2 linked regions of the Danio rerio genome follow. The protein of the gene in region 1 purifies or fractionates together with the protein of each later gene. This does not show direct contact. Links are inferred from orthologs where the notes say so. Each region holds a gene or a part of one and is shown in the gene's direction. Other genes may lie near its edges.

What was found. The genes of interacting proteins can lie anywhere in the genome.
Region 2: the proteins of bet1 (region 1) and stx5a purify together in Homo sapiens (affinity purification with mass spectrometry; 3 studies listed by BioGRID and IntAct, with this or other methods). This does not show direct contact. The link is inferred for Danio rerio from reciprocal best matches to the Homo sapiens genes BET1 and STX5.

The regions. Positions count from the first base shown.
Region 1 is NC_133194.1:43,528,908-43,532,665, reverse strand, and holds the end of bet1 (BET1 homolog), read left to right. Parts: intron 1-13; coding exon 14-70; intron 71-2,804; coding exon 2,805-2,960; 3' UTR 2,961-3,255; downstream 3,256-3,758. UniProt on the Homo sapiens protein: Required for vesicular transport from the ER to the Golgi complex. Functions as a SNARE involved in the docking process of ER-derived vesicles with the cis-Golgi membrane.
Region 2 is NC_133189.1:9,160,354-9,164,243, forward strand, and holds the end of stx5a (syntaxin-5a), read left to right. Parts: intron 1-989; coding exon 990-1,096; intron 1,097-1,219; coding exon 1,220-1,341; intron 1,342-2,824; coding exon 2,825-2,984; 3' UTR 2,985-3,382; downstream 3,383-3,890. UniProt on the Homo sapiens protein: Mediates endoplasmic reticulum to Golgi transport.

The DNA.
Region 1 (3,758 bases):
ATGCCTTTTGCAGTTGTCTATTGACATTGGAAATGAAGTCAAGATCCACAATAAGATGTTGGGAGAAATGGTATGTGTCAGGAAGTTTTTCAATGTCTAGTAGGGGTTTCATGGTACACTAAAATGACTTTTGTTTTGAAGTTTGGTGTTTTCTGTTTAATGGGTGGAAAAATTCATAACATTGATGTTTTTACTATACAAATTGTGGCTGTGTCTTTAAATAAATTCAGTTAAAAGTACAGTTGATATTAAGGGTAAAGAAACTATAAATGTACAACTGCTATTGAGGGGAACAACTATAAACTATATATGGAGCCTTATTATTTAAGCATTGCTATATTTAAGTGTACAGTTTCCAACAGGGACCTTTATTAAATTCAGTTGCAATTAGTTTTTAGATATTGAAATCCATGCTAAAATAATTCTAAATGCAAACATGAGACTGTTTTTACAATAATTTAAATCTAATTATGAAATTGTTTCTACTCCAATTAGTAATCCAATTCCTTTGTAACGGATTCATTTAAACGTACATTATATATTAAATATGTATTGAAAAGTATAAGAATAAAGCATTTATTGTTTGAATTTTAAAGTAACAAAACAAAGCTTTTATTTGTGCATCTGAAATAGGGCTGCACAATCTTGGGAAAAATTGACAGTATTTAGTTTTTCTGCGATATATTGCGATATTGATATAATTTCACAAGATTTGTACCACAAATGTATGAGATTTTCCCATTGAGTCCTTGGAAGTGTCAGGTGCAAATAGAAAGGTGTTTCTACATGTACAGCACACACAGAAATGCACAGTGTGTTTCAAGAGGGGGACTGTGGCGTCTTAAGCCCCTGATGTATTGTCAAAAGCCCCTGATCTTTTGTTGGAATATGTTGCACTTAAATAAAAATAGGTTGTATAAAATTTATTTTGTTATCAAAGTTTTTAAAATTAGCTCATACATCACTGTGCTCCAGTTAACGCAGCTATTAAGTCATGTAATTAAATTGTCAGCTATTCTGCAGTATCTGTTTCTACCGGCAGGTGGGAGTGGCACAGTTGTCACATGGTTTTAAAAAAATCCCATCATCATCATTCATTATTTTGAGGAGCTGATGAGGTAATAATACAATTCGCAAAACTGAATAGTTGTAACTACTGATTTTTTAAATAGCTTTTTTTAATTTGTTTTCACAGTAAAAAATGTGTGTAGTTTTGGTGAAATACAATAACTAATTGATCAAATGTGCATCATATCAATGTAAATACACGCGAATTAGTCAGAAAAACGTAAATTGTACTAGCTCTCTAGATATGATATAGATATCTAGGCATATTTATCTAGATATGATATAGCCAGGCACATCTGTTTCTGTAATGGTTAAATCACAGTGAGGTAATGCATCTTATTATTTTATAGCTTCTATTTAACATGCTTTATCAGTTAGCACCGAACTTAGTTAGCACTTTACAAATCTTGAATACCAATCAGAGACAAATGGGTGTTCAGCACTGCCTACATGTGCATTATTAATTTTAAAATCATCTATCCATTTTCCTACCCTAAAAAAAAACAACAACAAAAAAAGTTTGTTCTATTGCAAACAAAAGAAAACCGAAAAACGTCAGTTTTCTTAATTTTCCTTTTTTTGCTTGAAAACAAATATGAAATGGACGGAAGATTCCCTGATTGTGCATGAAGATGCTTTGTTGTGTGTTTTAGAATAAGTATTTTAAAATGCAATATTTAATGTGTCAGACACAAAATACAAGTTTTTAAATTAAATAATAATTGAATATTAATATGACCAGTTAATGGTTAATATTCTGTTAACAAGTGGCAGTTGTCAGTTGGCAAAATTAACTGAAATGAGCATCCCTAATTTCAATGTATTATGGCTAAACTTTGCAGATCTCATCTTCTGAGCGGTGGTGTTGGATTTAGTATAATCCCATCTCAACATTGCAGATCCAGGGATGTGACAATTTCACATGCAGACATTGAATGCTGAAATTGTGCAGCTCTAAATTAAAAAGTGTTCTGTTGTAAAAAAAAAAAAAACTAAAAGATTGACATTGGGATTTAAGAATAAATATTCATGCATTCACATTAAGGCATTCTAAAGTTCCAATTGTGCTGTGGTTAAAGCAACGCTGTAATCTTTTGAAACGTAAGCATGCTAAACAAATTTACAGTATATACAGTTGAAGTCTAAACTATTAGCTCTTCTGTGAAGTTTTTTTTTTCTTTTTCAAATATTTCTTAAAAGAGGTTTAACAGCAAGGAGTTTTTCACAGTATTTCCTATAATGTTTTTTCTTCTGTAGAAAGTCTTATTTGTTTTATTTTGGCTTGAATAAAAGCAGTTTTTAATTTTTGTTTTTAAAGTCATTTTAAGGTCAGTGTTATTGGCCCCTTAATCATTATTTTTTTCTCGATTGTCTACAGAACAAACCACTGTTATACAACGACTTGCCTAATTTAACTTGTCTAATTAACCTACTGCCTTTAAATGTCACTTTAAGCTGAATACTCTGGAAAAATATCTAGTAAAATATTATGTACTGTCATCATAGCAAAGATAAAATAAATCAGTTATTAGAGATGAGTTATTAAAACTAATGTGTTTAGAAATGTGCTGGAAAATATTCTCTCTGTTGCACAGAAATTGGGGGGGGGGGTATACAGGGGATAATAATTCTGACTTCATACGTGTACTTGCATGTTAAACCCCTTTAATTAAATTTCTTTTTTAAGATAGTAGTATTGTGAATAGCTTTAATATCTGACTCGTTTTCTCCTTAAGGACTCAGACTTTGACTCGACTGGAGGTCTGCTGGGAGCCACCATGGGCCGATTGAAGCTCCTCTCCAGGGGAAGCCAGACCAAGGTGTACTGCTACATGCTGCTGTTTGCTCTGTTTGTGTTCCTCGTCCTGTATTGGGTCATCAAACTCAGGTGACCACACAACTCCTGAGATCCAGGACTTTATTACATGCCATGCTCATTTGGGGTAGAAGAGCAAAATCCTCACACTTATGATGATGGTAATGATGATAATGAGGAGGAATTAAGGGGAGCAAATGTGCTTTTCTGGCCAGTGAATTAGAAATTGAACCATTGAGTTACAATGTGCAATATGAGAGAAAAAAAAAAAACATCTGTCCCCAAAATTACAGTCTCTTCAATGGAGAAATGCTACTTATACTGGAAAAACATGCATATTTAATTCAGTAATAATTAAACATTTGTTTGTGTTATTCTTTTAAGAGAACTTCATTGCTATGAATGGGTGATGATTTATAAATTCTAATGGATTTATATATATATATATATATATATATATATATATATATATATATATATATATATATATATATATATATATATATATATATATATATACTATTGAAGTCAATGGTTACAGGTTTCCAGTTCAAGGCAGTTTCCAGAAGAAAATCAATCATGTGTGTTTGAATAAAATGTCATTTGTCTTCTATTCTGTAATCTATTAAAGGTCCCACAGAATCAAAACAGTGACAGAATTCAAGTTTAGAAGATATAAAACTGATATGAACATGTCAAGCTTATAGATTGTCACTTCACCCAAACGAATCAACTGTTTTATTCACATGAACCTCATACTGCAGTTTCTCATCAAATCATAACCAATTTACTGCTCTCTAGTATCTGACATGCCCCGGCCCGCCCCTATTTTGTGCTTGAGCTGACAGAGCGGTGATTAAACAAAACGCTATTG
Region 2 (3,890 bases), on another chromosome or scaffold:
ATGCCATGGTGCATTTGCGATTTACATAGCGGACTTTGTGAAAGAAAAAACTGAATGCTTCCCTTAAATGCAGTAAGGATAAAACATGAGTCTCCTCCATTCAACCTCTTTACTTTTACTCTTACTTTACTTTCGTGGATAAGGAAACGGTGTTGTACGCACTCCACTTAAGACATCCATCAGCCTACATTTTTAATTTAGTTTTTTAAGCACAAAAATTGGTTTCAAAAGTTTTTCTAAATTCAGTTTTGATTTCCAGCAAATGAATAAATGAACAAGAATAACGAAATGTGGTCAAAAACTCTATTCAAACACACATTCTGTTCTTATTCTTCATATACCATTCAGTTTCCTCAAAATAGCAACATGTCGATAAGGCATCCTGACTCGCATCTATTTTAGACCACCACATCCTTGATGCAGGAAATGGATTTGCTATTTAGACAACGTGGCACAAAATGTGAACATTAGCATGGTGCTGGTCTGGAAATAGCAACAAATCGCGGCAAACACGTCTTGCGCCTAATTGCGCCATGTCTGTGACAGGCCCTGTAGAGTTAAACAGTTGAATATGACATTTATTTTTTTACCGATTTCTGTGTCTGGCAAGAGCACTTTTAGCTTAGCTTAGCATAAGTCATTGAATCGGATTAGACCATTAGCATCACGTTAAAAAATGACCAAAGATGATATACAGTCATTTTCCTAAAACTCAACTCTTCTGTAGTTACATCGTGTACCAAGACCAACCAAAAATGAAAGGTTGCTATTTTCTAGGCCAATATAGAGCGTAGGAACTATCTTCTTTCTGATAATCATTGAACTTTCTGCTGTACCATGGCTGAAGCAGGCACAACGATATCACGCAATGCCTTGTTAGTTAATATTTTTGTTTAAATACTTTCTTTGTCACCAGCAGAAAATCCTTCAAATGTTCTTACTTTAAATTTTTCATCATGTTAAATCATTTACGGTTGTGGCTCTTCCAGACAGCTCAGTTCTGATGCAGGATGAGTCCAGGAGTCTGGGAGCAGAAGTGGCCATCGACATGGACTCGAGGGCAAACCCTCTGCAGCTGCAGCTCATCGATGAACAGGTATCCGTCTCTTATATCAAGCGCAGTTGGAATTAGTCTGGATTGCAGACTCTGGTTTGCATGTATGATAAATGTTCAATGTCTGATTTCATTATCAAATTTCCCTTTATTGTGTTTGTGCAGGACTCGTATATCCAGAGCCGAGCGGACACCATGCAGAACATCGAGAGCACAATCGTGGAGTTGGGCTCCATCTTTCAGCAGCTGGCACACATGGTCAAAGAGCAGGAGGAGACGATTCAAAGGTCACACACACACACACACACACACACACACACACAGGCAGTCCACATAACAGCTAAATGTAGCTATACATTCTGAGCAATTTGACAATCATGTTTATCAAATTAAAATGAGCTTTTTAAAGGTATAATAGTTCACCCAACTCTTAAAAGTGTTGTTATCCTTATCTTGTCACAAACCTCTTCAAGTTTTTCTTTCTGTTGAACACAAAAGAAGATATTTTGAACAATGTTGGAAACTGGTAACCATTGACTTCTATAGTATTTGTTTTTTTTTTCCCCCGTTTTCTTTTATGGAAGTCAATGATTACCAGTTTCCAACATTGTTCAAAATATCTTGTGTTCAACAAAATAAATGAAATTTGTGACGGTTTGCAACAACTTGAGGGAAAGTAAATTAAACTTACACGTTTATGTAAACTGGTAAAACTTCAGTTTGAGATTAGATCTTTTTAAGATTATTTTTCTTATCCAATTCACAAATAATTTAACTTGTTTTAAGCAAACAATCACTTAATTTTGAGGTGTTTTTTTTTTTTTTTTTTTAAGAAAACAAGACCTCAGCTGCGTCCCAAATGGCACACTATACACTATGCACTCATGCACTATGTACTTATGCACTTACGCACTCAACTGGATAGTATATGTATGTAGTGGCGTCCCAAATGACACACTAATGTTTTTTACTAAGCGGAAATTCAAACCGTTTCCCTGATGACATTTGACGGTTGCCAAATCAGTGAAATAAACAACCGAATTATCAAATATACCTGCCGTGAGTACTGCTGCATTCACCATCAGGAGGCGCTATAATCACTCTCGTAGGAGAATTTTGCTTTCACCATCCAAAATAAATAAAGTTATTCAACATGTGCTCCGCCCCTTCCACTACTTAAGCAAACCTGCGGTCGTTGAGTGCGTGAAGTGTCCATCATTCCACGCTTCATTTTAGCGGCTGAATGAGTGCATCATCCGGGTAATTAAGTGCACCTATTATTTTTAGAGTTTTCAGTGTGAACACACTACTTACACTATTTATACTACAAAATGGCGTAGAATAGTGCATAAGTATGCGATTTGGGACGCAACTATAATTTCTTATGCTATTTCATGTGTCTAGTATGTATCTTGACTTAAATATTTAGATTTTTGGATTGAAAACAGGAAAAAACTACTTCGTTTTATCATTATTATTATTATAACAGCTCAGGGATGAGCTTTTTTAAATAAACTAACTTAGAAATTAATGCACTTTTTTTTTTTATCAGATTCATCGATTAATCGAAAAAATAATGTACACATTAATCGATTATTAAAATAATTGTTAGTTTCAGCCTTAATTAAAATGACAATAATATCGTTTATCGTAATGTATTTTGGTGCAATATATCGTACAACAACAAAAAAATAGATATTATGACAGGGATATAGCTGAGGTATTGTCAGATGCTGTAAAAATCATGATGTATTCATTATTCGTCTACAGGATCGACGCTAACGTGGACGACACAGAGCTGAACGTGGAAATGGCCCACGGCGAGATCCTCAAGTACTTCCAGTCCGTCTCCTCCAACCGCTGGCTCATGATCAAGATATTCCTGGTACTCATCGTCTTCTTCGTCATCTTCGTGGTCTTCCTCGCTTGAGGTGGAACGACCTCAACTGTAAGAAGGGCTGCAAACAGAGCCAAAGGGTTTGAAGGAGGGAAGGAGCAGGCGATGGACTTATGGGCGAACGTGCAAAAAAACACAAACTCAAATGGACCGGGCCACAGAGACTCTGGCTCTCGGGATAGGGGGGATGGGTTGGGATGGGGTAACGATGCTCATTAATAGAAATGCTTTTAGTCCGAGGGACTGGACTCAGTTGTAGATTTCTGTCCCATTCTGGATGATGATGAAGGTGGAACTGAGATTTACTGTGTGTTTAGATGGAGAGGAGAGTGTTTGATTTCACTCTGTTCTCTTTAAGCTTCATCTGCATTAATACTTGAGCCTTCGTTTCTTATTAATCATCACATATTAAACGAGAAGGCTTTTTTTTCCCCAAGTGGTTTGATTCTCCAAACTGGTTTAGTTTTTTTTTTTTTCTCTTGGACAGTGTTATTCGTAATCCCACGGTAACATTTTTTATGGTAAATTCAGTGAGATCTGATTCTTTTCAGTAGATATTCCTGATGATATTAATAATACTCCTGGTAATTAATTTAAATTAATCAGTTTTTATATAAAAAACAGGTGATTATTACACACTTAAGGGTGAATCTTGAAGTATCAGAATCATTTTTTACTCCCAACAATTGAAAGGAGCTATTGTTAATTGTGTTTATGTAATTATATTTTTGATACATAAAAATGATGTCTATTTCAGGACTGTTACAGCACTTTTTTCATGTAATTAAAGGGACAGTTCACCAAAAAAAGAACTATATAATATTATTTATTTACCCTTAAATTATCTCTTTTGAGCGAACCATCCCTTTAATGTGAAAAAAAAATACATGAATGTAATTTACCTTATTGTATCTCACGTCATGTAAAAATGTATATTAA